Linked DNA regions of Astyanax mexicanus. The protein of the gene in region 3 interacts with the protein of the main gene of each other region in a pairwise test. Links are inferred from orthologs where the notes say so. Each region holds a gene or a part of one and is shown on either strand. Other genes may lie near its edges.

Region 1 (10,942 bases), on a different chromosome or scaffold from region 3:
ACTCTCTAAGATGATAAGAAAGAACCACTGAGAGGAACCAAGACTCAAAGGCTGAAACTCTCTAAGAGGATGAGAAGGAACCACTGAGAGGAACCAAGACACACATGATGAAACTCTCTAGGAGGAGAAAGTACCACTGAGAAAAATCAAGACTCAAAATCTGAAACTCTTTAAGATAATGAAAAAGAACCACTGAGAAGAACCTAAATTTAAAAGCTAAAACTCTCTAAGAGAATGAGAAAGAACCACTGAGAGCAATTCAGACTGAAAAGGAGAAATTCTCTAAGAACCACTGACTGAAACATAAACTCTAAGAGAACAAGGAAGAACCAACTTAAGGACTCAAATAAGACTTAAGTTTGTCAGACTCAAAAGAACCTTTAACCGCGTGATGCTTTTTTCAACCTTTCTAAAGTTATTTACACTTGTATTTTACCCTATTACATACATGCATTTTTTATTAAACCAAAATTGATTTTTTTAACTAAAGGATTGGTTGTTCAAACTTGTTCAAAGTTTTAAAACTTGTTATTTTTTAGAAAGCGCATGTGGTTCTTTTGTAAGTGTTAAGAACCCATACATTGGTAAAGAACCTTCATATCAAATAATGTTTTTTCAGAGTGGTTCTTTAAAAGGTTCTTCACAGTTTACATGGAACCTTTATGGAACTTTTAGAACCTTTATGGAACCAAAAACAACTATGTTGGGTGTGAAGAAGCTTTAAATTGATGAAGAACCTTTACATCACCTAAAAATGTTCTTTACACTCTAAAATCTTTTATACAAACATGATTCTTATATAAACAATGTAAAGAACACTTATCCTGGTAAAAAAAAAAGACTTTACACCAAGTGATTGTTGTTTGGACTTCTGAAAGTTTCCTTACATTCACAAATCTCTTCTACAAAATCTTAGTTTTTTTTCTAAATGTGAGTTCTTTCCACTTTTAAAAAACCCTCTACATCACTACTATATTCAGGGTCTCCTACCTGTTTTACAGGGCCCCTCACTCACGTTGAGTCCAGGACTGGAGAACGCTGCTTCTTTAAACTTGCAGAGGTTCATGTACGTCTTGCCGTCAGTCCCACACAGAGGTTCTTGTGACACACAAACGCACTGAGCTTCGGGAACACTTCCATCAGCGTCCACCACCTGCCCGGGTTCCAGCTTGCACTCCATGTTCTCTCCACAAACTCCGTATCGGACGTTCCTGTCCTCCAGATCACATGACTGACCCTCCAGGTTTCCACATTCGAAGCAGCAGCCGCAGATATCCCTCACCAGCCCGGCTCTGCAGCCCTGAGTCACCGGACAGAGCTCCGGCACACACTCCTCACACACACTCTCGTTCCTGTAATCCAGCTCGTCCGTGGCCTTGTAATAGTCAAAGGTCATGGCCAAGTCATCGTCCAAGTCGTCGTAGGTGTACTGAGGTAAACTCTGGCAGAGTCCCACACTTAGGAGCATGAACGCCATCCATGTCATTGTGCACCACATGGCTTTATTCTTTCTTTGAGTTAAATAAACTTGAAAACTTGCTTTGTACAATAATTCTACTTCAAATTGTTTGGTAAATTAAATAAAATAGATATTTGTATTTATATTAAACTATACTAAAGGAAAGGAAATGCTATAGAGCTAGCACAGAGAGATAACAGCTCAGAAAATGATGCTTGGATCAGCAAGTTTACCTAAGGTAGCCTTGGGGGAAATTACTACACACTGATGGTAAGTGTCAGAAACTAGGGAACAGGACCAAGTATTTAAATATTGGAAAAAGCAAATGCAGAAGCAAATGGAAAAAAACTCAACTATTATAGGTGGATCCAACTCAAAGACTGCATTTACGAATGTTTATGTAGCCGCAAATGTTCATCAAACTCAAAGTAGTTGAGTAATGTTTGGAACTATTAATTTTTATATAAAACAGACTCAATTTATTTACTTAATTCAAACTAATTATGTGATTATAGGATTAGGAAATCCAAAAGAAGAGGAAAACCAGAAATCTTAATGTCTGGAAAAAAGTCTCAATATTCTAGACATAGACAACCCTAAGAAGATTGCCTACCTATATTATGTTCCTAATATTCTCCAAATACACCAGAAAAATCCATCTAAGTGATCTGGAAACCCTTGAAGAACTCACAAGACAGTTGATTCCACCAGTTTCAAGATTAGTCTCCAACCAGGCATGAGCTCCAGAAAATGCTGACAGGTCCTGAGAGATGTTCTTCAACGTAAACAATGGTAAGCAATATTATCCCTGTGTCCTTTATACAATGTGTTCATCAAAACCATTTAAAAAATGCCATCCAAAAACACTTCAGTCTCTTCCAGACTTCCACTCAGTCCCAGAGAAAAGAGAGCAGAGTGAGCAGCAGCAGCTCTGCCTGTCCTGCTCAGGTTCCCACCCCCATCCTCCTTCTTCTCCTCCTCCTCCTCGTTCTTCTCCTCCTCCTCCTCCTCCTCTTACTCTACCTCCTGCTTCTGTAGATCAGCCCCAGGCTCCTTAAATCTTAACACCATCTGTGGACTAGAAAAATAAACAAAAAATACACCCCCGTCTCACGTTCCCAACCGTCTACCCTCTTGTGTCAGCCCCCAGCCCTATTCTGGTAAAGTCTCTAGGAATGCTGGGAAGTTAGACAGTTTAGCAAAGTAAAGTACAGGGATTATTTATATACCTTGGAGTACATGTTATTTATGATGGTTAATAAATCAGAGTAAACCCTTCAGACTTCAGTTTGACATAATTTACTACTGTACACCTTAAACAAAAGAGTTTTTGATTGGTTAGTAAATCTACCGAGTCTCTAAAAAACAGTAAATGGCAGTTCTAGTAGTAGAGGCACAAAATAAAAAAACTGTTAAAATATTAAACAAAAACTGCTAGTTTCCGGGAATAAAAGACAATGTTCTCTTTTTATTTCAACAGGATGGTAACATTCTAGCAGCAGAAATCTGTAAAAAGTAGCATTTTTCTGGAATCCCAGTTGACAGAATGTTACAGCTGATCCAGCCTTGTTTGCTAGCTTCTTTGCTGTTACACTGATCGCTCACTGAAGCCCTGCTGACAAGAGCTGCCAGCAGGGCCGCCGCTCTGCATACGCAGACAACGCAGCCAGCGTTAGGCCTCAACCATTTTGCAGTTGCAGGGAGCCAAATTGACTGAGAATGAAATGTGTTGAAATTATGACATTATTAAATTTAAAACCCAATGTGAATTATTTATGATACGCTCATCTTTTTTGTCTTTAAACATTGCATGGGGCACCTACTCTACTACTTAAAAGCGGCACGTTATTATTTTTGTGCATAATATAATGCCCCCACCCCTATTGCCTGAAATGGCACGGCTCGGTTTGCTCTGTTGGTTGTTGCCAGATGTGACATTTTCCAGTCAAATAAATAATCAAAAAATGCATGGAGGCGCTAAATCTTGCGCATGTTTAACCATTTTTAAAGTGTATGTGGCCATTCTATACAAAAACTTGTCCAGTGCAATATTTGTGTAAGTTAAAAACTTAAAATAAAATAAACAAATAGGATGAAAAATCGTAACTTATCTGGCAACCTTAGTCCTAACTAAAGTAGCAACGCTACTTGAGTTTGGCAGGAGACAAGTTCACCGCGCGAAGTTGCTACTAAATGGTAAATGGGGGGGGGGGGGGGGGGCCTCCCTGACCAGTTATGCTTAGGGCCTCCAAAACCTTAGCAGCGGCCCTGGCTGCCAGTGCTTACACTTAACATGTTTCCTTAATATCTGATGATACATCCTGACCATTTTTATAATTTACTACTGAAAATATAATCATTTGTGGTTCTTTAATGTCCTCAATATATAAAATTACAATGTAAAAATCATAAAAAAAAAAACATATTGATTGAAAAGAGATCTGTCCAAGATTCGAATTGGTACTCTATCTACATAACAACAGTCATTTTTGTAAAGCTTGAGAAAATATTAATACTTTTTAAATAATAGATAATTAATTAATTAATAGATATTAATTTTAAATAATATAAATTATGGCTCACAAATAATGGCACTTTACAAGTAAAGTAAAAAACCTTATCTTTCAATATAATATACTACTTAATATTTTTTGCCAATTCTCCTGTTTTTGGCATGCCACTGATGAGTGTGGTTGTTCAAAGAATGTTTTAAACATGGTTCTAACCTTTTACAGTACTATATAAAACCCATTTTCCTAGAGTTTAAATTGTTTGCACTCTAGGAAAAACTTACCATTGTTTAGTATCGTTTTTCTTCAGAAAGAAACACTAAACTAAAGCAGCATCTACTGAACCTGATTCCCTTGGAACTGTTATATCTCCAAAGCCTGTGCAAATTACCCCCTTGTTTTGATGTCAGCTCTAAGGTTCTACAGAAGTCCTCTATAATTAAATGGTTTAGAGGTAAGTAGAGTCATTTAGAGAGGGTTTGGTGTAAAACGCTTAAAAAGTCATAATTGCTCACAGTGGCAGTGAACAGAACACTGAAAAAAGCCATCTGAACCTCTCAAAAAACTCCCTCAAATTAGTTCAGTAAATGCTTATGAATGCACTGTCTGATGTCGCAGACACTTTTTAACACAGTTCTGCCAGAAGATTCTGGGTCTAAAACTGTGTATCATTTAAATAGTGGAAGGATACATGTGGGGTGGCAAAAAATAGTCCACAATGGGATTTCTTTTTCTAAGTCCCCTGTTGTGTTTTTTTCTGAGCTGTGAACCACAGCTGCAGTTAAATTAGTGGAGAATGTTAATGATGACACTCTGACCAAAATGATTGGATTGGATTTCAGCAATTCCTTAATTCATCCAAAAACAACCACAAAATCTCACTCACTTAGAATGAAGGTTAGTTGGGACAGTCAAAGCACCCAAATCTATAATTAGTGGCTATATTTAGCTAGAAGCTGATTTACACCATTGGATCTTTTCAAATTTGATATCAATTAGCAAATATTGTTGAATTGTGATATTAAGCATCTCTAGTATTTTAGTAGTAAAGTGACTCATAGAACTGTGACACTGTGATGAGACAAGAAGCCACCAGATGGCAACATATCGTCCACACTGACTGAAAACCTCTTCCTTTTAGAGTTTCATCAAGTTTTATTTTAAGTTTGTTGTAAAATTAGGTGACCATAGTTCAGTCTGGCTTTCTGGTCTTGGCCAGTATGTTTACTGTGCTCATACAAAGTCTTATGAAGCCTTAATAAGATGTTGTAACCCAGTAATTATAGGGTTTTTAGTTTTGAAATGTCTATAAAGTGATTACATGTAACACCTTTATACCATAAAAACAAATGTAACAATAAAGGAAAGAAAGTGTAAAAATCTCACATTTCCAAAAAAAAAAAAGGAAAATAGACTTGTTTTGTTACTTAAGTCACAAGAATGTTAATTTGCACAGCTTTATGCCAGGGAATTCATGTTTTTTTTGTATTTAATTTTTTTATGTTGGTACACCATAATTTTACTAAGTTCGGATCCAACTTCCTCCCACAATTCACTCTTTTTATTAAGCTTAAAATTAGCAACAGTGTTGCTACTGTTAAGTTCAGAAGGTAAATAACATAAGGTATATTTGTGGGAAAATATTTTAATTAATATTTTAAAAATATATTTTTTATTTAACCTTTTTTTTCTATTTTTTAACTAGAAGGTCCCTTGAGATTATTATTTCTTTTTTGATGGAGGATTAAATCTCATAACTGACTCTCCCTCAACTCTCATTATTGTTATCAATATAATTACATGTTTTTATGTACTAATAAAAGTGTATGTAAGTGTGACTACATGGTTCTCTTTTGTGAAGCAATTAAAAATTTGATATAAATTTTATATATATATAAATTCTATATATACAGTATTTCTTATATCCATATAAATATTTTTATCTTAGTTTTCAATCCCTATATATTATCTCTTTATATATATTTTGTCTCACAGTTTCAGTCTACTTTTTATTATATATATATTTATTATATATATATTCCATTTATTTTTATTTTTTTACAAATTATTTGGCTCTATAAAATATTTTTGTACACTACATATTTTTGTAGTTTTTTTTATGTGAATGGGCAGTCATCATTGCATATCACTAGCATTAGCGTTTTGCTTATTTTGTAAATTAACACCACAGATTGTCACAATTGTGCTGAACAATTGTAACTTACTATTTATTTATTTTTTTTTATTTCCATTTATTTTTATTTGAACAAATTTTTGTCTCTATGAAATATTTTTTGTACACTTTCATATTTTTTATGTGAATATGCAGTCATCATAGCATTTCACAAGCATTAACATTTTGCTTATTTGTATCATTGTATGAAAAAAAGCGAATTATTGCCAAACTGTTACCAAAATCATTTCCAAGTTGTCACTTAACACCACAGATTGTGCTGAATAGTAAAACATAGATATAATTCTCTCTCTCTCTCTCTTTCTCTCTCTCTCTCTCTCAGGTCAGCCTGGGCGTTTTTGCAGTCCGCCCTCATTGTACATCTGAAACTCTTGGCACGGGTTGTGCTGAATCATGGGATAGCGAACAAAGAGCGGCTGGGGGAAATTGACAACTAATGAAATAACTCAGTGGGCATCAAAAAGGGGAGGGCCAACCGGGCCTGCTGAGGGTGATGTTCTGGTTGGGGTTGTGGTCTTGGGTGGTGGATTGGTGGAGTGGGGCAGGTCGGGGGGGGGGGGAGTGTTGGGGGGGCGGTTGGTTGGGGGAGTGTATGTTGGCTCGATTTGTTTCGACCCCCCCATGGCAGCACAGCCAGCCTATTAGGCCTGATTATGAGTGTGATCTGAACTGAGAGAAGTTTTGGCAGAGTTTCCACCCCTGGGCTTGCTGTATATATTCAGCCCCCCATGCCACCCAATACAGACTGGCACACTGCAGAGCTGGTAAGACCCCAACGTCGGTTCCTGCCTTTATTTCTGCTCCACACATTACGCTGCTGCTTTTAGCTCTTGCTGTTGTTTAATTACTGAAAGTAATATTTAGTAACTGTATGTAATGTAAACTCTTATATAGAGGGATACTGTCATTACTATACATTTCTTATTCTGAGCTAAATTGTTTCAAAAATGTTTTTTTGGGGTTTTTTTTTACTGGACACTCAGTTTTGAAGTGTTGAGAGTGAACACAGCAGAAGGATTGTATTTATAATTGGATTAATTGGATTTATACTTTATTAAGAACATAGCATCAATTTTTATGTAAAATATGTTTAATTTTAATAATAAAGATTATTTCTCTCTTTCTCTTTTGATGAAATGATGTGACTTGCTGTCCTGAAGCTCGTCACACCCATCCTGGTTCACTATGGCAACTGATCACCAGAACCCTGCAACCAAACAGCAGCAACCAGGATCCAGTGTGTTTAAGGTGCACAAAATGAGAAATATATATTTGTTTGTTTATAATACATATCATATATTTCTGTATGGTATGTTGTCAGGATATTGTAATGTAATGTATATTTTCCGAATTTGCCTGCATTTGGTGTGATTAATACACTAAATAATAGAGCGCACACAGTGTTCTCTTCTATAGTTTTTGACTTTCTTCCGCTGTAAAGATCCACTGAATCTAAAATTATTTTTTTTATTTTATTTATTATATTAATTCTTTTAATTTTTATTATTATTATTAAAATATGAAGCAGTACTTGATCCTGTTTTTTTGTTTCTTGCACAGCTAGTTATCTACGAACAGGAGAACTTCCAAGGCCGCTGCCATGAGCTGACTGGGCCCTGTAACAACCTCCAGGATGCGGGCGTGGAGAAAGTGGGATCGATACTGGTGCTGTGTGGACCGTTAGTGTCTGTGTGTGTGTGTGTGTCTGTGTGTGTGTGTGTGAGAGAGAGAGAGAGTGATGGTGATGCAGTGAGAGTGGGCACATTCTGCTAGGACTGTGCTCGGATTTGAAAATGTCAAAAGTTAGTTGGAGAGATTTTGAGGTGGACAGACAGTCAGAGGACGATAGACAGACTGTATATCTGTCTGTCTGTTGAATAATCTCTCTGTCTCACAGTTTGTGTGACTAATAGATAAACAGAATATTAGTCAGATACACAAAAAACAGACAGAGACATAACTACACAGACAGACATGGACAAATAATAGATGTACAGACAGACAGACAGTGAGTCAGCAAGACACAGACATGGACAAATAGATACAGACAGTCAGATAGACAGACAGACAGTGAGACACAGAGAAATAGTCAGACAAATAAACAGACAAAGGCAGATACACAAAAATAGATAAACATGTAGACAGATATATATATATATATATATATATATATATATATATATATATATATATACACAGATAGATATTTATAGATATAGACAGATAAATAGATATGAATAAGGGTGTAAACAGACAGACAGATTGTGTTTCCATGAATCCATACTCAGAACTAGTTTTTGAGTGCAGTATCGATAGACACTTCTCTCCCACAATGCAATGCAAAACGGAAATGGAGGAGATACTCACGTTTGAAACAAATGAGAAAAGTGATGGCTAAAGATGCTAGCGCAGCAGCAGGTGCAGTAATGTATGTTGACACAGTCATGTTTATCAGTGCTTGTTAAGTGGGGTATTACATTAATATTTTGTGTACTTACCTGCCATACCTACACTATTAATATTAGTATCTATAGTGTGTATATGCTCTGAGCTTTTGCTGTGTGTGTATGTGTGTGTGTGTGTGTATGTGTGTACAGGTGGGTGGGGTATGAGCAGCCCGGCTGTAAGGGGGAGCAGTATGTGTTTGAGAAGGGCGAGTATCCTCGCTGGGATGCCTGGACCAATAGCCGTCGCAGCGACTGCCTCTTCGCCTTCCGCCCCATTAAAGTGGTAACTAACACAAACACACACTTCCCTCACTGACCTACAGTCTAGAACCTTCAGCCATCTTTACACTGCTCTTCTTAGTGTGATTTTTTTTTAGTACTGTGTAAAGTTTTTTCTTATCTAGTAAGTGTACAGTAACTGATTGGTAGCTACCCAGAAAACATGCTTATGTGGGACCACAATGTGTAACCCAACTGGAAACCAAATTGTTTTGTCCACTCTTTCACTGTTGGTCCCACATATGGATGCAGAGGTGTGCAGACATAGACATCAGGGGGTGCTAAAGCACCACCAACTCTGCCCTTTATCAACCAAAGTGCCCTTTTAAAACTTCTTTTTTAAAAATATTATTAATATTAAGATTTTACTGTGGCCGGTTTGAAAAGATCTTTTGAAAACCTGAGCGATTAAAAACGAGTGAAAACAGAATGCCCTGAAATCAGCTCGCACACACCCGACCTCTCTCTTCCTCTGTCACGTGATCCCGCGCGGTCGCGCGCAAGGCACACTAGATGCGCTGCAGCAGCAGTTCAGTTCAGCGAGTCTTCAGCACAGCACGCTCCCCCGTGTCCCACCAGCCAGGTAACATACACATCAAGTAAAATCCTACCGTTTGCCCTCTAAGCCCAACGTGAAATCATTTTGTTGTGCAGTAAAATGTCTCATACAGCACCAAACTACTAAGCATCTTTAGCCAACTGGTCACCAGATAAACTAGCCGCTCTAGCCCAAATCAACGATAGATAGCGTTTTTTTATAATGAAGTGTTCCACGTGCGCTAAAAAGTGCCCTTTTTCCCCCCCCGAGCACTTGTCCCCCAAAATGTCTGTGCACGCCACTGTATGGATGCCCACCATAGTTAGTGATGGGACCAGGAGGGGTTAAACATGGGCTCCAACTGGGTTGTACACTGTACATGAGGCCTACACTGGACCCTTGTGAGACTGAGATAAGCTGAAATGATTATAGCCCATTTGGAAACGCCAACTGGGTCCCAGCCAGAACATCCAATCAAAGCACATGCCCATCTAGAACCCTCCTAGCTCATGTTCCACTCGTGTGAGCACCACATGAGAATTTTGGCTGTGTTAATCAAAAGATCTCCAAAGCTCCAAAGTTCTCCTCATGAGAATCCAGTGTTATATACAGCTCTTATCATATCAACAGCAGGTTTGGTAATTAAGTGTTTAATGATGTTAAATCAGGAATGAACTTGTGATGGAATTGAACACATCCACTGGTTCACAGGAGAAATCTGGGATGAACTAAGCCTTGTTTTTCCAAACTAGCTCTCAAGATCCACAACAAATATTTTCTTCAATGTCAGAAATTATTTGTAATTTTAACTCTATTCATGTTTACCTGCATCTGTACTAATGTAATCTGATGTTTTAGTGATTTTAAATAATGTCATTAGGATCTAAAATTATGCAGTCTATTAAAGAGCATCTCCTTCAGTTCCTATAGCTCAGTCTGTGGTCTTCTTGTGCCATTTTAGGACAGCCAGGAGCACAAGATCGTGCTGTATGAGAATCCCAGCTTCGCAGGAAAGAAGATCGAGATCATAGATGATGACGTACCCAGCTTCCACGCTCACGGCTACCAGGAGAAGGTCTCTTCAGTCCGAGTGCAGAGCGGCACGTGAGTATGACCTCAGTCACTTTGATGGACAAGAGCACGTATAAGCACGTATACTACAACCATATTGGTGTTTCGTAGCAGCTGTTGCTGGCCATTCTACTTAATGAGAAACTACTGCAAATACTGTAAAGGTAAAACAAAGTGGGCTGTGAATGTTTTTACTGTGCTGAAAACTGCATGATGGAGCTACAGTCTCTCATCAGGGTTTGTAGAGTAAATTACTCTCATTTCTCAACTCACAATTTAAGTGAATTTGAACATGAACTTCTTCATAGATATTTAAAAAAAATGCTAAAAAAAAAAATAAAAAAGTTTATTATTTGAGTAAATACTCCCATCACATGGGATACTTAACTTTCTCAGCAGTTCTCAGCCAGCATGAAGTCCTACAACACTATAGCCAGTCAGCCA
Region 2 (10,640 bases), on a different chromosome or scaffold from region 3:
GTTCTACTTGGTCTTATCGATCCACGAAACTTTCTTTCTTAAGTAAACTGCAGACAAGAGGCAATCTTCTTTTTTGGGTAGCAGAAGCTTTCTTCATACAACCCTACCATGTACAGAATTGTTGTTCAGTGTTCTACTGATGGTGGACTCATGACCTTTAACCTAAGCCAGTGTGAAAAAGGCCTTCAGTTGCTTTGAAGTTGCTCTGGGTTCCTTTGTAACCTTTACTAGGAGTTATTAGGATTTTGTGTGATAATCTGAAGATGATTTAGGTCATATTTATGCAGAAATGTAGAAAATTATGAAGGGTTCACAAACTAGAATGCACCAACCCTGGTGACAATAAAGTAGATTAAAGTATACTAAGCAGTATTATGCTAAAGTGCACTAAAGTGATCTTGTAGCCACATTATTATTATTATTAATCAGTATATTTAAAGAGTGCTAAAATTGAACAACTTTTTTGTACTTATTATACTTTTAGTGTACTTAACTGTACTAAAATGGAACTATTTTAAATATACATCTTAAGTAACATCTAAACATATTACTTCATGTATGTAACCATATATTTTAAACATGCTTACAGTAAAATTACAATACATTTAGTGAGTATTAGAACTGTATCACTATTATAGTACAAATATGCTTCTTGTTCCTGTCTTTTGTAAGTAGCACCTTTCTAGTATACATCTTTGGGTATAAAATATATGTTTTAACATACTGTACTACAATTTTTAGTGTGTTAGAAATTCAAATTCAATTTTATTTTTTTAAATTATTAGTAATTTAATTTACTTTTTAAGAAGTTACATGATACATTGTACTTTAAGTGAACTACTGTAACAGCTGTTTTTAACATACTTTGCTGAAAATGTACAAAAGCATATTTGGAAATAAGTATTTTAGAAGTATACTGAATTACATTAAACTAAAAGTGTACTTCATAGTAGTCTATTTTTTTTAAATATACTATATTGTTCTTTTTAAAAAGTATGATCAAAGTTTACTTTCAAACATTTGATGAAAGCAAAATAATAATAATGTACTTTTAATATATTTAAATATATTTTTATATATTTTTAGTTTACTACATAATTTGAACAGACAAACTGTCCCTTACACTGTGCCAAAATTTCTTGATGAACCGACTACTAGAAACTCTTCAAAATGACCTGAAATAAACTCTTTTTACATTGACTTCCATTGAAAGTTTACAAGGTTTTTTCTCTCTCCTGTAAAGTTGCTGTTTTGGAGATAAGTGTTTTTCATTGTACAAGCCCTGGTGGCATGGGGGCCCTAGGTGGCCACAGTTCCAGTATGCCTTGGATCGGTTCTGAAACATGATTAAACATTCACCACCATTCTTATAAAGTCTAAATCAAAATATTTCTTTATGATTACATTTATCACTTTAAACCCTTTGTGAATGTCATTTATTAAACCTCAAACTTTGGGTGGAAATATGGAGGAATTGCCCAGAATTTCCATCAGCAGAGTAATACAATGTTGTACCACACATATCCAGTAGGGTCCAGTCTGGATTTAAACACAACACATCATAAATCCAGCAGATGGCACTGTGACCTCAATAAAAATAAGATTGACTAATAATAATAATGCTGAGATGATGCTTTGGGAATGTATGAATGGGCCTCCATATCAAGAACAGAGGTGAAGGACAGTAACAATGAGAAAATCTGTTTAAATAGGTCAATGGCGGTACAATGTCATTGCTGGTGATCTCATTCGATTTTTCCTTAAAATTCCTAAAAATTCCTAATTTTTGCTTTTGTTCATTTGAGAAAGAAGAGTAGCAAGAACTGGTAATTCTATATCCCTAGAAAGAAAAGAAGGAAATGGCTCAGAACCCACAGAATAAGTGTAAATAAGTCATTCTAAAATTAGGGGAACTTTTTTTTTATCTCCCACTATCTAATAATATTGCTAATTATCACTAAAATACTATTAAAAATGCTTGACCTAGATTTTAGGCACATTTTATTCTTTATTCATATGAAATTAACTAAATGACTCAAAACCCTCACATTTTTAAATGTCTTCACTTTCTTTTTTTACAAATCTAAAAATTCTTCTAAAAGCTCAAGATTAGTTACTTTAATACCACAGAATATCTATTTTCTGTAAAATATGTCATTTTAGTGTCTCTCACCATCTTCAGATCAACTCTGTTACCTTTTTTTTAAAACTATAAGATATACAAATATAAAAACTGCATAAAGTGAAAAGATGTGTCAAATGTCTAATCTTATTATTTCATACAAAATATTGATGACAAATAAAAAAAAATAAGTCTCTTAATTATCGAAAAACTGGCATGGTGGCCAGTACTAAACTTCACTCAAGATACACAAGATAACACCTTACAACTTATACAGCTGTTCTAACACTGGGGGGTTTACACCCCTGATATTAGGCATGGTATCAACATATTCATGTTGGGATGTTGGGGGCTTTATACTGCTGTAGTTGGTGACCATATACTGTAGTTTCAATATGTATATACATATATATATATGGTTTCTCCAGAGCTTCCTGATCTGTTGACAGTGTTGATCTGTGGAGATTACAGGCTAATGTATAATCTGTGTTTAGCCAACTGACCCCGATTTCAGCAGAGGGTGCTTATTAACACCTCCAATACCAGTACAAGGGGTGTTACGATACTTCAAAGTTTATTTAAAATCCTAATTTGATATTTAAGCAACAGCACACAACAGGGAATGCTATAAGGTATAATATTGACACTGCTGTGCAGCGGTCTTAGGCACAAGGCCGCAGGCGAACCAACAATCGGCTTGTTTATAAACACTCTGCAAGCTAAAATAATTCCATTGCTGCTCTGTTTGTAGCTGCGCTGTTTGGCTTGTAAGCGCTGCAACGTTTCTAGGTTACCTGCATGTGGTGGAGTAATACATTGAGAGCTTCGGTTACAGTAGTGCATTACCGGCTGATAACGGTACTCGTAGAACACCTCTCAGCCAATCACATTGCAGGGTCGGAACGAACTGTGGTATAATAAATAAATATTAATTCATGCTGCTTTGACACAAAGATGTGGGAGTTCTCATAACACTTACCATGACGTCTGTTTACAGATAAAAATCTACCCTTCAACAACAAGAGCAAATCAGCTTGCTGCTTACACTGCGAGCGGAGGAGAGTTAGCATGTGCTAGAGGCTAAAACTCCCTCTCGATGTGGAGATACGTGCAAGTGCAGTTGCCATAACAAGCTGACAAATCAAGGTTGATGTGCAGAATTTTTTGGGCATAATGCGACAAACTATTATTGAGATTTATTATTGAGATAATCTAAAATTTGAGCTTCAGTTTTGTGTTTTGCAATAATGAGGGGAAAACAAAGGCTTTAAATCATTGTTTAGTTCATTATAAAATGTTTGTTATAATTGCATTTGTGAGCCTGTTAAACTCCCAAAGGTTTGCACATATTCTTTAACAATATTTCAGAAAAAAAATAATAAATCTGATGTGCATACATTATATTGCCAAAAGTGTCCTCTATACAGCCCCTGGAAAAAAATAAGAGACCACTACAGTTTCTGAATCAGTTTTTCTGATTTTGCTATTATATGGGTAAACGTTTGAGTAAAATTAACATTGTTCTTTTATTCTATAAACTACAAACAACATTTCTCCCAAATTTGATAAAAAGTATCGTCATTTATAAAATTTAGAAAATAGTAGAGAAATGGCTGAAATAACATAAAAAAAGATGCAGACCTTTCTCAGACCCAAGTTCATATTTATATTCAAGTTTTAAGAGTTCGGAAATCAATATTTGATAGAATAAACCTGTTTTTTTAAATCACAGTTTTTATTCATGCATCGTGGCATCATGTTCTCCTCCACCAGTCTTACACACTGCTTTTGGATAACTTTATGCCTACACTCCTGGTGCAAACATTCAAGCAGTTCAGCTTGGTTTGATGGCTTGGGATCATCCATCTTCATCTTAATTATATTCCAGAGGTTTTCAATTTTGTAAAATCAATGAAATTATTATTTTTTTTTCCAGAGCTGTATATATATTTTGTATATATATTTATATATAGCTCCCTCATACTAACCGTTATGATTTGTCTGCATCATCCTCCAGACCTCTCATCTCTCTGAGCTCAATGAGTCATTGAGACTCTCAGAGGATGAAGGCTGGACCAGGGTCAGAGCTCATCTTCAGCTGTCTCTTCTTCATTTATCTCTACTTTAAACCTATTTAACCTTAAAAAATCTTAAAAAAAAGACTGGTAGCACCTTCTATAATAACTAGGCACGCATATATATAGTCAGTCAAACTGGGAGCAGTGGTTTATTCCCAGTTGGAGAAGAGCATATCCTCCTGTCTGTGTCGGTCTGCCTGGCTGCGTGTGCTGCATTGTTTCTCCACCGTCCAATGGCACGAGCCTTGTCCATTGTCGTCATCCAGCGCCTGCGGTGCCGCGCGCTGATAGGCTGATGCTGCAGCTACGCCAGCTCTTTCATTCTCATGCTGCCATTGAGAAGATTTGGGAATAGGCGTGGTCAGAGCTGTAGGACACGCCCCCTTTTATAAAAGTTGAGGCTCAGCTGGCGGAGATGGATAGTGTGAGAGCTGTGGATGGACTCAGTGAGTGAGTGTGGAGCTGCTGTTGCTGTTCCTGTTGTTTAATAGGCTGAAGAAAGCTCGTGAAGCCCCCAGGCTGAAGATCTACATGTCTGTGTATTGTCCTCAAGTCTACTGGTAAGATATTAAGATAATATGCAATATTTCTGGTTATAATGGAAGTAAATGGTCTGTAAGGGTCTGTAGTACTGTAGAGTTTTAGGGTGCAACAAGCAGCCATGCAGATAACTTATGCAGGTTAACGCTATTGTCGTGTAGTTTAGCGATGCTCGAGTCATGTTTTTTTATATAAAAAATAAATAAATACACGTGTTTTAATTTCGTTTCGTGCAATATTACGTACGTACGTTTACGTACGCGCTTTAGTTGAAACGCAATTTTACGCATTTTACGCGTTTTTGTATCGCATCAATCAAATCGATTAAACGCTAATAACTTACGCGATTGTCAAAGCATGCCGCGTTTACTGCTGCTTTAAGTTGTTGTTAAACTGTTGATTTGAAAACCTCCTGGAATAACGTTACAATCAAGAGGAAGATGGATGATCACAAGCCATCAAACCAAGCTGAACTGCTCGAATGTTTGCAGCAGGAGTGTAAGCGTAACGCTATCCAAAAGCAGTGTGTAAGACTGGTGGAGGAGAACATGCCAAGATGCATGAAAACTGTGATTTAAAAATAACAGGGTTATTCCACTAAATATTGATTTCTGAACTCTTAGAACTTTACGAATATGAACTTGTGTTTTCTTTGCATTATTTATGCTCTGATAGCTCTGCATCTTTGTTATTTTAGCCAGGAGAAATGTTGTCTGTGGTTTGTAGAATAAAACAACACTGTTCATTTTACTCAAGCATATACCTATAAATAACAAAATTGTAGAAACTCTGATTAATAACAACTTAAAAAAGACAAAGTAGCCCACGATTTGTAGTTAGAAAAATAAATACAAATATGTAGCTATGTTCTATATATTTTAAACTTTTATTATCACTTGTTGCTCCTGCCCTATATATCTAAAAGTAATAAAACTGGTTTTAAATTACCTTTTTCCAATCAGTTTTCATCCATAAAGAAACAGGCTGTGTTCCTGATCTATGACCCCTATGACAAGACTGATGTATGTAAATGAGCTTTGCTCTGATTTGTTGCTCTCAGGCTGAAACACTGCTTTTAGCTTCATTCTGCTGTAATGTCTAAAATGGTTTGCTTTGTAATGTATGTTCGAATGGTGAAAGTTTTTTTTTTTTTTTTTGTGCAGGATTGCATTTTTTTTTACCAAATTTTATGTGTCCTTAAAATATCCAAGATTCATATAACGTGTGTAGCAACCTTTAATTAAAAAGGAGTATTGTTATTAGGGACTATAAGTTGGTTTGAATAGCCAAAAGCTCAATTTTACATGATTTTGGTATCTAACATGCATGTCGTTTTTAGAAAAAAATGGCTTTGTGTTTACGTTTCATTTATTTAATTTGCACAGTTCCATTTTTCTGGAGCAGATAATCATGAACCTGTTGACACCATACCTGATGCCAAACCTTCCTAATGGATAAGGCTGCCATAATTAAGCTGTGGATCAGTAGAACTGTGTTCTCTGGAATGATGGTGCTCCATCCTTTACTTTTGGGATGGATTGATGACTTCATCCCCAGTATCTAAGGCTTTCTAACGCTGTTGCTGCTGAATACAAATAAATTCTCACATTAGTCCTTCATAATATATTAGAAAGTATTTCCTGAAATGTGTTTATGTGCAATTGATTCCCCCTCTTTTATGATCTACGCTCAGTAAAACTGTGAACTGAAATTCACCAGAAAGCTTTGCTTCAGCCAAATACATAACAGCATAATCCATATATTAGGCAAAGTGTGTGACTCACAGTGGAACATACATATGTATTTGAGGCAAAATGCTGTTTCCACTCCAGTTCAGAGCTGCGGTGGATGTGAGTCACAAGATTGATACCTTCCTATTCTGCACAAAAGGTCACATTCCACAGTGAAAGGACTGCTCCAGTGTACTCTGTACAAACTACAATATACTATCATACAGTAGAAATAAAGTCTATAGATTTTTGTGGATTGGATCTAAAGATTGTTGGTCATTATGGAATAACAACAATGCAAGCTAAATATTAGTGTAATAATTACAGTCGTTTTAAACAGCAGACTGCCTCCCTCATGTCTGATCAATCTAAATTGATTTGAATGAGAAAAAGCTTATATCTACCTAATTCTTCCAAGGTTTGACTTTCATACACCATATACAGTATCTAATGTACATGTAGTTAAAACATAACTGTTTATATTTCTTAGTGTATTTGAATTGAGCCTTGGTTGAATCGTTTGGAAGGTTAACATTAGAAATTTTGCATTGTTTTTATATCAATTCTGCATTTTTTTTTTATTTATTTTGCGCTTGTTGCATTTTATTTTGTTTAGTTGTACGATGTTTGGAAGTTATCATATTTTACAGACTATAGGGCGCACCCAATTATGCGCTACACTGAGGAATCCTGAGTCTTCTGGTAAGCCAGGATGCTATCAGCTAGCGGTTTGTCCCACATAGCTTGTTTTAACATGGTAAACTACAGTATAGACTACAGATCGAAATACACAACTCTGAACAGTGAAAGAGCTAGCGCTGCAGTTAGCGGATAATGCCAATACTGCTCCAGCCTTGGTGCTGGAGAAACTTTACTGAAACTACTGTATAACGCTGTACTTCAGCGGAGTGGCTTTACTGCTCCTTACAACCTGACTGGTAAAATTCATACATAATGCGCACTGATGATTTTTGCGAAGATTAAAGAATTTTAAGTGCACCTTATACTCCGAAAAACACAGTATCTTAACTACATTTCTTTTTCATGAGTTAGACATCCATGTGAATGACCCACGGGCTTATTTTTAATGTTTTTACATTGGCTTAAATCCACCATTACATTGATTTTACGTTAGCCTCGCATTTGGCCCTCTGATATTGTCACAAGAGAAGACCACCACCCACTGACCACTGTTTGTATGTGAGAGTTCTTGCAACGCTCATCATGGCATCCATTCCATGTTGGTCACTGAGTGAACTGACTTGCCTATACGGATCTTGGCTGTTCTCAATCAGGTCATCTTTTAACATGATACCAGACTGGAGTTCCAGCCTATGTCCTTGGTAGTACTGTCCTCCTATGAAGACTCTTTCTTGGTAGACTTTAGTTATATAATATTGAATATTGAATATAGTGGTGTAGTGGTGCCTTATGGTGATACTGTTTCAGAAAGATTCCTTCTTTTGTATTTAGTGGTGGAGCCAAACTTGATGGATTTGTTTTGCACTGTGCCTGTTGGCTGCTTTTATTTATTTAATTAAATGTTTATTTTTGCATTGGTTGTTGGGTTGTACAATAAATCTAATTGGTATCATAATATGTGTTTTCTTAATAAACTCTTTAAAAGAGCTGCAATAACATCATCATGAATACCAGCAAACTGTGTTACCTGAATGTAGCAACAGAGGGAGCTTATCATGTGACACACCAAAGCTGGAGGTAGAGTGAGGTAGAGGTTCAGATTCAGACTCTCACACCAATCTACTTCTTATACTGTGAAGAAAAGGCGCTTAAAATAATTTTGGATCTTAATTTTCTTTGGTCTGTATTAGACGTGTGCCATATCATATCGTACGTGATAATATCGTCAAAAAATTTGAAAATCGTGAACGATATTATACCCTGACATATTGTGCCCCATCACCCACCCCTAATTATTGCATCAAAGTACTACCTTTTTGCTGTTTTTAGCAAAAGAAAAATTCACACTGTTCTCATTTCCCATTATATACTGTATCTACTAGAGACAGATTACATCTGTCCAGTATTATCATTTATTTGACTTTAATCCTGGATGTATGGAGATATTTGAAGTGCATTATTATTAGTATCTTGACATTCTGGATCATTGACTTCTGTTACAAATCTGATAAAATTATTATTATTATTTTTTTAATATCTCAGTTAGCCATATCCTATTGCATGCTATAATAAAATTCGAAATAATTTTCTAATTCAGTGTTTTGTCATATCGCCAAAAGTATCGTTATGAAAATACCATGAAATATCGTGATATTATTTTAGAGCCGTATCGCCCACCCCTAGTTTGTAATGTATACCCGTAGTTGTTTATATTCAAGAAGTTCTTTCTTTCTAGAACCGTCTTCTGTGTTGTTGTGGCTCAGAAATGCAGCCTGAGCTTTGGGACGCAGTTCAGGTTTGCACTACTGATGCAGCCTATTCCCCTGATCTTCACACTTTCTGAGCTTCTGCTCAATGTGTTTAGCAGCACAAGCTAGCTTGCAGTGGAAAACCCCAGTGAGAAAGCAGGGGTTGTGGATTTAGCTCGTTTTTTTTTTTCAGCCTTTGAGCATCTGAAGGAAACAATTAGCTTACTTCAGAGGAAAATGGAGGAGTACACAGGCCTCACACCACTTTTTTCATTTTTTGATTTTTATTTTTTTTTCTGACTAGCTTTTTACCTGTTGCTGAGAGAATTCATAAAAACACAAAAACAAAACAGCAGGTTAACATCGTGACCCTTCATTAGCAGTAGCAATGTGTCAGTGTTGCATTGTTTTTACATAATCACTTCAACCACTATGAGTTGTGTTTTGGGCAGGAAGTGTGAACCTAACCTCCTAAAGTGAATTTCAGCCCTTGTCTTGCTGCGTCTCTGCAGTTAACTGTTTCTCTGCAGTCGCTGGTGGTTTTGTTTGCAGAGGCCCTTGATCTATCTTCTCACGTAGCTCTCCTCAGCTCGAACCGCTTGTGTTCCTCTCTAAACAGCCTCGAAAAGCTCTCTCAGCCCCGTCACGCGTGTTTTTAAGGAAACCTGGGTGAATCTGTAGGTGTCTGACTGAAGGTAACTTTGGGTAATTTTCCTTTTTAACATTTGCTTCACCTCTTTTAAGACCGAACCACAGTAAAGTGTTGCTGAGTTTCTAGTTTGAGGGGGTTTCCTCAGATTTTTCAAAAATATCTGCATAATTCCATGGTTGACGTTTCAACATGCACCATAGAGAAACTTTATCTTTTTTTTTTTTTGTAGTCACCTTGACTACAGCAAAAATATAGTATTTACTTTTTTACTATCCAACCCCAAGAGTGAAGATGCAATTAAATGGTTTTGTGAGTGATGCCATGGATCCATAAACCATTTTGTGGTCATTTTTAATGGAAGTTAATTGCAAAGTTTATCCATTTTTTAATTAATAAGTTATATTTGGGTACTATTGTGCCAAACTACACCTTGCATATATGCCTCCTGCTGTAAATTCAAGTCTACTAAGTTTGTGCTGTTGTTGATTAAAACTGATTTCTTACATATTGATTTAAATTGCTGCACAAAACTTAGTTTAGACTTTTGTTGGATTGTATTGTAAAATAGTTAAACTTGTTATTGAATTTCCCATTTTATATATCTACTAGAGACAGATTATATCTGTCCAGTATCATTTATTTTACTTTAATCCTGGATATATGGAGATATATGGAGGAGTGCATTATTATTAGTATCATTGAGTATACTATCTGGATCATTGACTTCTGTTACAAATCTGATAAAATTCTTTTATTTTTTAATATCTCAGTGAGGGGTGTGCCATGTCATATTGTATGCAATAGCAACATTTAATTTTCTATTTGAATTTGTTGCAGTAGTGTATTCTTGAAATATATATTTTTATGTCCTATCGCCAAGAGTAATCAGTATTACGAAAATACCAATAAATATTGTGATACTCTTTTAGAGCCATATCGCCCACTCCTACTGTAGTGCAGCGTTTATATAGCTAACTGTGAGGTAGAAAAAGTGGGTGATATGACTGAATAAATTATAATTAATAGAGATATACACTGAATATTTGACTATTGAACTTTGCACAAAAACCTTTTTTGTGTATTTAACAAATTTATATAAAAAATCACCATCTCAGATTTAAATAATGA
Region 3 (10,052 bases):
AGCTGATTAATCTTAGGCTCCAAATCTTCAAGCTTCCTTGGTGCCTGAATACACAGTATCCCATCATGTGAAAGGGAGACCTGGAGCAGAAGTGGGTCCACGCCCATGGGAAGGATGTAGGTACGCGTGAACTCTCGGCTCACAAAGCCGTGGTCATCCATTCTTTGCGCGTGGCGGCCGGTGACCTCCAGCAGGTTGTCCACTGTTCGTACATTGAGCTCATCTGGAGTGAAGTGGCAGACGTCCAGCTGAATGCGGTACCAGTCATCGTCGCTGTTTACTTGGGAGAAGCCCCTTTCTAGCTGCTTGTTGATGCGAGGCCGGATGTAGTAACCATGGTACAAAACTGGGGCCATCAGGTCCTGAGGGGACAGGGCTGGGGATAGGGGGGTGAGGTCAACAGAGGGGATAGGGTTAGCAGTGAAAGTAAAAGCCAGCAGCTCCATTTGTGTTCAATTCTTTATGTCAGTCCTGCTGTTTTTCAAATGCATTACCATATTCTGCAAGTAGATTCTGCATGCATGTGTGTATGTGTAGGGTTTAGCAGGTAAAGGCTTGTTTGTGAATTTTGACATTAGCAGAACTAGGGTTGGGTGATATGGCCCTAAAATAATATTACGGTATTTCATGTTTTTTTTTTTGTTTGTGATAACGATACTCTTGGCGAAAAGACAAAACAATAAATTAAAAGAATACACTATTCTAGAATACATTACTGCAACAAAATGAAAATGAAATATTACTATTGCATACATTATTATATGGCACACCCATAACTGAGATATAAAAAATACAAGAATTTTATCAGATTTGTAAAAGAAGTCAATGATTCAGAATGTCATGATACTAAAAATGCACTCCTAATATCTCCATATATGCAGGATTAAAGTAAAATAAATGATACTGGACAGATATAATCTGTCTCTAGTAGATATATAATGGAAAATGAGAACAGTGTGAATTGTCCTTTTGTTAAAAACAGCAAAAAGTAGCACCTTGATGTCATAATTAGGAGTGGGTAATATGGCATGATATTTCAGGGTATAATATCGTTCACCATATTCAAAAATATTAGCAATATTATTGTCTACGATACAATATGTCACACCCCTAATCAGAACAGTATTCTGATTTTCCTACTACATCATCAGATCAGGCAAAAGTTCTCACAGTATGGGAAATGCTTATAAAACAAGAAAGTTTTCTTTACTTTGCATTTATTTCACTGTAGTCATATTTATTTAATTTGTTAATATACACCCATTCCTGCATTTCAGGCCTGCGACACATACCAAGGGACATCCATGCATTGCATGACAATGCAAAACCTTATGCTGCACACATAACAAAGGCATGGGTGCAGAATAAGAGGGTATCGTGCTGGACTGCCTTGACCACAATACAAAATGTGAGAAAAAAAATTAAAAGAAAAATGCAAAAATGATGACCATTTACTGTTAGACGTCTTAAGATATTGTTGCAACAAGAATTAACCAAAATAATGCCATTTAATTGCTTGCTATGCCCAGTGCCAAAACGTCTTTTAAATATTGTGAGAAGGAATGGCAATGTTGCAAAGCGGTAAATGTCTTAATGTCGCAACTTCTGTGGAATGTGTTACAGGACTAAAACACAGAAATAGATGTACAGCTCTGGAAAAAAATATGAGACCACTTAAAAATGATGAGTTTCTTTGATTTTACCAAATTGAAAACCTCTGGAATATAATCAAGAGAAAGATGGATGAAGCCATCAAACCAAGCTGAACTGCTTGAATTTTTGCACCAGGAGTGGCATAAAGTTATCCAAGTTATGCCAAGATGCATGAAAACTGTGATTAAAAAACTAGGGTTATTCCACCAAACATTGATTTCTAAACTCTGAATATGAACTTGTTTTATTTGCATTATTTGAGGTCTGAAAGCTCTGCATTTTTGTTGTTATTTCAGCCATTTCTCATTTTCTGCAAATAAATGCTCTAAATGACATAATTTTTCATTGGAATTTGGGAGAAATGTTGTCCATAGTTTATAGAATAAAACAATGTTCATTTTACTCATACATAAACCTATTAATAGCAAAATCAGAGAAACTGATTTAAAAAACTGAAGTTGTCTCTTAATTTGTTTCCAGAGCTGTACATTAATACATGAAATGAAGTTGAGCAGTTCATATTGTAATGCAATTAAAATTGTAAATGTAAGAAACACAGTGTTTTATTATTATTTGCATTCTGTATACTGTCCCAACTGAATTGTGTAGTGTTACAAATGCAGTTAAGTTGTTCAAATGCTGATCAATATAATTTTAAAATATCAGTTACGTCTAAACATCTCTCTGGTGTGGACATAACATTTAAAGCAGTTTTAAGCAATACATAATTCTTCTTCTGATATCATTGTGCATATCTAGATTTTTGTTAATCTACTAACTGAGTTCACTTCCTCATAGAGTTTGCCTGACAGTACCATAAAAATAGAACGTCCCTCCCCTCTATAAAACACCAGAAACTCTTACATCAGGTCTAATTACAAACAGTGTCAGCAGCGCAGGTCAAGCGTCATGTTTTTATTTTGATCATATACTGCGCCCTTATCTTCATGTATATATACTACCATTAATGACACACACTGTGGTTGCTCAGTGCTGGATATGAGATATTGGTTCATATTCAGTCCAGCAGTGGATGACAGTTATTTTTGTGTGGTAGCCTTGGACTCTTTGTCATGTGTGGTATTCTAAATATAAATCCTAGCCTGGGCCTTATATTTCCCTCCAGTATAAAAAGCTGTCATGGGGGATAGTGGATCAGGCAGTCATCACTTCAGTTGGCCCTTCTAGTGCAGGTTCATTGGCAATTAAACAACTCATGTTAACTTCATCCTCTGATATCACAAGTCTGCTGTTGAAGAAGTAGGGCAGTTCATGCAGTTTAAAAAAGTAAAATTTTTTCTTATTCAAAATGAAAGAGAAACTTTTTCTTCAGCTGTTGTTGGTTTAAAGATATTATTGAGTAGCCCATATCTTGTGAATGAAAAATAATGCCATTGATAGAACACCTTGAAGCAATTTATCTGGATTTATAAGACACTTATCATAGTTGCGCCCAGAAGGAATTAACTGACAGGAAGAAAATTTGGCGGGTAGTTGTGACAGGCTGAAGGATGGAGATAACCAACGTATGTGTGGAAAGTGCCAAGATCAACAGTTTGCTGTCATGTGTTGCACATCTATAGGGCCTGGTGTCACCAGAACACCTCTACAGTCAGTTTTAAATGCCCAGGGTTACATTAATAACGTCCTTCAACCAGTGGCCAATACCTTTTCAGAATGCACCCTGCGGTTCAACAGAACAATGCTCATTCATATTCTACTGCCATTTTAAGAGATTTCCAAAAAAAAAAAACACAACACCAGACCTATCCTTGATTAAAAATGTGTGGAATTCTATTGAACATGCTATAAACTCCACCTCTTCTGCAAAATTTGTTGAAATATTGTTAAAATTTAAGCTGCATGGAATAGTTTATTGCAGGAGACTGTTAGGAGACGTCTGGCTTGTTTACACATTACACATGCATTACACACTACTTCAATATGTGTAGCTCAATAAATACTTCCCACATCTTAATCCACGTCTTAATTTGCAATCATGTATTGTTGCTGGCAGCTTTTATCTTCCCTCCAAATAGCATAGCAATCTGAATACAAGTGAGCTTGACTTTTGATTGAAGATTCTCTTACCTTCTGCAAAGTTCTGGTCATAAATCCGTGCAGGAGTACACATCTCATAGTTCATACTCATGGGGTAAGCATGGGGAACGGTGCGGTCAGCCATGCTAAAGCATGGGCCGGGTGTCCAGTGCTGGTGAAAATGTAGCAGTCCTTTCAGGTACAACAAACAGGCAGGATTGTAATGGAGAGTACAGAGAAAAGAGAGGCAGCAAGTCTGTGCCCTAGTGCCTGGACCTTGGTAATAAACGGGTCCAGAAATAGCCTGTGGCGCACACACACGCTGGTGTTGCATAGCCTAAAGGGGGAGACACACTGAGTGATATAATTCTGGGCAGTGTTTTGGGTCTCTTTATTCAGAGTGGTTGGCTTTCTTCTAAAGGAAAGTAAATTAGCAGCTGTTCTGAGACTCATTGGAGTTAATGGATGAGTTGTCAACTTGGGGCAGCCACATATACACATAAAAGTGAAAAGGTCAGGAAGTCAGTTAAATACCCAAGGGTACTGTCAATGTTATGTCGGTGCATATCTAGAATTCTGCATAATATTCAATAGAATATACAATAAGTCATGGAACAATAACTAGTTTAATGTACCATGAAAGCTAAAGACTCCTGCCCTGCCCTGTAGTATATGTGTGTAGGTCTCCTGCATTGAATGGGTTTCTACCAGAGACGCGTGTATGTACACATAGACAATTCTAGCCAGACACTGCCGGTCACAATCATTACCAGCCACTGAGAGTGGGTAGGCCAGAGTGGGTAGGAGATGACTGATGACGGACTGTGCTGCTATGCCGACTGCGTAAGTGGCACTGTGCCGGGTGCTTGTGCCAGTTTGACTAAGCCCGCTGAGGCTGGCGGGCACCAGGGAAATGCTTCTTTGCAAGCACATTGACTCTGTATGGTGCTCAACCCTGCAGAATGATCCCACAACCATTCACCATCAGCCCACCGAACAAACTGGCCTCGCGCCCGGTGTTCTGCCGAAGACAAAAGACCCTCAAAGGGGGTTCAGACCTCAAACTACATAAAGCCAAATCAGGACATGAACATGATAATCTGCTCTGGCACACAGCTAGGCTGCTTGGTCCACAGTTTTTGTGCCAGAAAAGCCAAAAAACCAAAGGCTACACTCAGCACCTCCCATTAGATTCTGTATGGCAAAGTTTCCAAATGGGTATTCAGAGCAAGCCCTGTAATCCGGCCGGCATCTGCCTGAATGAAATCACACCACCGGTTTAGATAAATACGGAGAGAGGTATCTGGTAGAGAGGGATGAGACAGCTTGCAGAGGAGAGTGGGAGGGACGCAACGAAAGGGGGGCCATCAAACAGTTTACATCATTGTTCCAGAAAGATCCGCAGCTGGCTGGGCCTGGCTCTGTGACTGCTACTGGTGGTGTATATAAGTGGGCAGGCTGGGCAGACAACAGGTTTTTCTCCAGGAGGACAACGCTAGCCTTAGGTCAGAAGACGAAATGGACGTCGCCATCCAGCATCCCTGGTTCCGCCGCTCTTTCTGGCCATCCTTCTTCCCCAGCCGGATCTTCGACCAGCATTTCGGGGAGCATATCCCAGAGAGTGAGATGTTGACCCCCTACCCCTCATTGTATTACCCACGACCCTCTTTCTTCCGCTTACCTAGTTGGGTGGAAAGTGGGCTATCAGAGGTAAGCAGCTCTGACATCTGTGTATTTCTCCATGGTACATTCTATAACTCTATAACTCTATAAATCTACGTAATGTACGGCAAAAGGGTAACCTCGGCTGGAGAACCCCATACTGGAGAACGGTGTTGCCAGTGGTGTTCTCTTAATAAATGACACAGGGACTAATAAGGAAAAGTTATTTGAGAAGGTTGCTTTTGTGGATTCTGAGCTCCCTGCCTGGAGGTGAATTACCATTAATCTAGAAGACAGCTTAAGAAACCCTACAACAGGAAAATTAAAATGTGTATCTTACAACATTCCCACTGCTCTGAAGGACCATGCAGGACAAATGAGCAATATAAATGTGTGTTCTGTGAGTAGTTTTGTTGTCACCTCATATTACTCCTCTTACAGTGGCCTTGATTACAATAAATTAAGCACAATTATTTTGTGCTTTTCTCAGGCAAGTTTAAAGGGTGTTCATTGTCAACTTTTCCTTGCAAGAAGCAATTTTAAAGATGCCATTTTATCAATATGTTTGGTGATGAGCACATGTTGCTGCTGGAAGGCTCAGTGATTTCCCTGTAATAGAAGTCCTTTCCATCTCTGTCACTAAAGAGCAAGAAAAGAAAACAGATAACAGTTTTTTGCATACAAAAAGTTTATATATTTTTTTATTTTGTACTATATCCACAATAAAAACAACAGTAGTCCACATACAGAATAACCCTGCCATACAATATTATAATGTTAAGTTCTAAACAATGTCTTGTTATTTCTAGCAAATCATGTAATCATGATTATGTAAACTGTGTTTTAAAATTGGAAGGGAGCACTTAAGCTACATAAAACTGAATACTGGAAATCAAAACACATTCATGTTTTGTGCTGTCTTTTATAGATGAAAATGGAAAAGGACCGTTTTACCATCAATTTGGATGTAAAACACTTTGCACCTGAGGAATTGGCAGTTAAGGTCAACGGCGGTTACATTGAGGTTCATGCTAAACACGAGGATCGTCAGGTAAATACAAACAGCAGTGGTTTCTAACTCTGGTTATGGAGTACCCCTGTCTTGCAGAATTTGGTTAATAATTTTAACTTAATTGGATTTAATTAATTAGATTTAATTCAATTTAATTATTTTGATGTAATTCATTGAATATAATTTAAATAGATTTTAGACCAGTTTAGATTGATCGAATATGGTTAAACAAGAAAAACATAAAAAAAGTATGCCTGTCAAGATAAGAGATTTTATTAGACAACATACTGTCCCATGAAGTGCAATTAACAATATTATTGTAATTCTATGACTATTTTATGTCACTGATTAGAATAATGATAGAATAGCACAATAATGCAATTAAACCCATTTAAAGAACAATAAATTGTTAATGATTCAGACAATAGAAATGAAATTAGAATATCTTGAATAAATAAAACATAAATAAAACAAAAACAGATGTCCATACATTATACGATAAGTTAATATTGTAATTATTACGTATAGGAAGGGGTATTTTTCTCAATTTTTCTCCAACAAACCTTTTTGTCAAGTTGGTCCACTCTTATTACAAGCATTGACCTTCTGATGTAAGCGTTTTGTCTGGCTAACACTGCTCTAATATCATATTTCAGTCAGTATTCATTGTTTAATGCCTGTAAATGTATATCTTTTTCTCCAGGATGACCATGGGTTTGTCTCACGAGAGTTCCTACGAAAATACCGGCTCCCTCTCGGGGTCGACCCAGCCAGTATCACCTCTTCACTCTCTTCAGATGGCATCCTCATGGTTGCAGCCCCTCGCAAGCTCTCCGATGAGCCTGAGCGCTCCATTCCCATCACTCGAGAAGAAAAGCCTGCTATCTCTGGCTCACAGAAAAAGTAAAGCTGCTAGATACTTGCTCCTTTCTGTCTCCCCTCCGCTGTGGTCCCCCTGCACTTATCTTCCACCTTCACATCCCAAGTCAAGCTTTGAGGAAAAGCCAGTGCTAGCATTGAGCTGAACCTTCTAGAGGCTTGGCCTTTCCAGAGGCTAGTCCTAATCAAAGGGCTCATTTCTGAGCTAGCTAGTAACTGTTCTAGCACATGTTTCTGTGCTAAATAGTGATCACTGAATTGTCTAATTCGGTTGGCACATCAAAACCGTGTCCTCAGAGATATGTACATCATTACACCACAGGAGTATTGTTTGTGCCGCTCAGCCGCTGGACGCAAAACACATTTTGCTTCAGCAATCCCAACCACAACCACGCCAAACAAAAGTGCTCTTTGTCTTTTACAGCCAGTCAGTGGCAAACAATGGTGGCACGGAGTAGAGAATGGTGAGGGATTGAGTGTAGGAAGACTGGATGTTTGAGCATTTTTGTGATCAAGCGGTGAAAAGAAATTAGCCTACGAGGAAGAACACTGTGAGGGAATTTTCACTGAGGTAAAAAATGTTGTTTGTTTGGTTTCAAACGTTTCATGTGAAGTGGGAGGTGGTGTGCCGAGGAAAAATGAGTATGTTTCGTAATTTGGTACTTCCTTTTCATGATGGACTTGGGACCAGATGATACATGAAGATCAAGTGCAGGTAGCAACAAGGTGAGGAGAAATGTTATAGAAAGAAAGTGACCTCTTTTTTTTGGTAGTTTCTGTGGGATTCTGTAGACATGACTTTTCATTGGTTTGGATGGATTGATATATGGCGTCTGGAAACATCTTGTTATAAATGGAGCAGTGAATCAAATATGATGAGGTTTGGTTTGATATTGAAAAGCTGCGTTCCAAAGTCTAGATTGGCTCCATTTCTCAGCCACTTTGTCATAAAAGCCTGTCATAAGTGAAGGGCTCTTCTTATACAGCCTACAGCTGAGAAATGCAGTCAGGGTTTGGAGCAATAGACCTTGGAGTGCAGATAGAAAAAAAATGGGGATGTGGGAATTTGGTGGAAGAGATTATAATTAGTTAAAAATTATTCAGAGGTGTTTGGATTTCCTAAAGAATGTGTCTGCTGACTTTTTCACATATTTTAATGTGTTTCAATCAAGTATTTGCTCATATTCTACATAAAATATATAATACTACATTTTGCAAACAATAAAAAAGAGATTGGAGGTTGTTTACTATCTATAATAGCCATCTATTTTTACAGCAATGCTCCCAAAAGCAGACATCCCACCTCTCCCTTACCTCCCGGGATTCTCACACATACAAGGCATTAACTTGTTGAAATTAGTTTTTACAGGGCAGATTGTCTGCAAAAATATTATTGAGAAAGCTGCTTCAATAAGAAATGATGTGATGTTGTAACAAGGCACACAACGTAATACACTTTTGGAAACACTTTCTTTGTGCAAAGGTAAATGTGGACCACAGTTATTATATCAACTAAAAGGCACAAGTGAGGGGGACACACAAGTAGCTGTTTCATGTGTTCTTGGTTAGGATTGGTCTTTTACATTGTCCTGGGGTTAAAACTGCTTTTAAACATTCTACAAGGTTCTTTAACTAATACCATAGAACAGTGATGTATAGTCTATTCCACTCTCAGATTTTCATTCTAACCAACCAGCAGCACAATTAATAAACTCATGAGTTTTTTCAGGAACTGATAATGTGCTTCTGCTTGTCTGAAATGAAAACGAAAAAAGCCACACCACTCTCATAGAAGAACCCTTTTTTACTTCCCTAAAGAACCATATTTGTATAAGAGACCCTATAAACACGTAAATATCCTTTGCTTTAAAAGGTTCTTTACCAATATAAAGGTTCTTCACACTCACATCTCTTCAACAAATATTCTTTGGGGAAACAAAAATGAGCTTGGCTCCAAGAACCTTTTTAGCACCTTTATGTTTAAAAGTGTAAAATAAGAACAAACAGGTCTCAGATCAGTGTAAAAGGCTCAGTGTTCCAGTCTTCTGCTGTTTCTGTTCACTGCTTCAACATTCCTTGTGATTCATGGCACTAAAACAATGTGTAAACACCACTTCTCCATGTGTGTGTAATGATGGTTATAAACATCCAATAAATTCTGTGATCATTCAAAGATTCACTGTGACTCATTTTTGTTATGTTAATTTAGAAACACTTTACTGTAGTGTTTTACAGTATTCATAAATTATATAAGCAACTGATATAAAATTACAGTTCCAACAAATGTGAGTTAACCTAAAGGACATTATTTTCAGTTGCCAGTATTACCCTTATTATTTATTATTATTTATTTATATGTTGCCCATCGGTGCTATAACTAATTACTGTATTCACCTTGCTTTTAAATAATCTTGATATTCAGGAATTTCTTCATCATCTGTTGTCATTCTGCTATCCTGTGACTTTTGGCATGTCAGAATAATTCATATTCTTTGATGATTCAGCCACAGTTTCTCAGTGGGTGATGCAGGGATTGTATTTATCAGTCAAGTTAAAAACTGCAATGTGTCCCAATCATTTGTTACAGGAAATAATTACACTGATATTACATATTACATTACTGTATAATGTTACATTGCACTGCTTTACTTTGTACAAGGTCACCCACTAGACAGGAGACAACAAAACAAAACTCAATAAATAACACAATAAATAACTCATTATTCAGAGCACAAAATAATTCACACAATACACAATGCAAACAATACATGCAGGGCAGTAAAGTGCAAAACAAAAAAAAATAAAA

The links.
Region 1: the proteins of cryabb (region 3) and crybb2 interact in a two-hybrid assay, tested with the Homo sapiens proteins (2 studies listed by BioGRID and IntAct). The link is inferred for Astyanax mexicanus from reciprocal best matches to the Homo sapiens genes CRYAB and CRYBB2.
Region 2: the proteins of cryabb (region 3) and lbh interact in a two-hybrid assay, tested with the Homo sapiens proteins (2 studies listed by BioGRID, with this or other methods). The link is inferred for Astyanax mexicanus from reciprocal best matches to the Homo sapiens genes CRYAB and LBH.

Annotation. Positions count from the first base shown.
Region 1 is NC_064419.1:32,323,855-32,334,796, reverse strand, and holds the start of crybb2 (beta-crystallin B2), read left to right. Parts: upstream 1-6,799; 5' UTR 6,800-6,927; intron 6,928-7,323; 5' UTR 7,324-7,348; coding exon 7,349-7,411; intron 7,412-7,723; coding exon 7,724-7,842; intron 7,843-8,760; coding exon 8,761-8,893; intron 8,894-10,388; coding exon 10,389-10,531; intron 10,532-10,942. Other genes in the region: kazald3 (kazal-type serine peptidase inhibitor domain 3), read right to left, coding at 991-1,498. UniProt on the Homo sapiens protein: Crystallins are the dominant structural components of the vertebrate eye lens.
Region 2 is NC_064414.1:6,390,172-6,400,811, forward strand, and holds the start of lbh (protein LBH), read left to right. Parts: upstream 1-4,618; 5' UTR 4,619-4,731; coding exon 4,732-4,760; intron 4,761-10,640. UniProt on the Homo sapiens protein: Transcriptional activator which may act in mitogen-activated protein kinase signaling pathway.
Region 3 is NC_064408.1:26,483,934-26,493,985, forward strand, and holds cryabb (crystallin, alpha B, b), read left to right. Parts: upstream 1-4,997; 5' UTR 4,998-5,211; coding exon 5,212-5,403; intron 5,404-6,283; coding exon 6,284-6,406; intron 6,407-7,070; coding exon 7,071-7,274; 3' UTR 7,275-9,421; downstream 9,422-10,052. Other genes in the region: hspb2 (heat shock protein beta-2), read right to left, coding at 1-376, 3,745-3,838. UniProt on the Homo sapiens protein: May contribute to the transparency and refractive index of the lens. Has chaperone-like activity, preventing aggregation of various proteins under a wide range of stress conditions.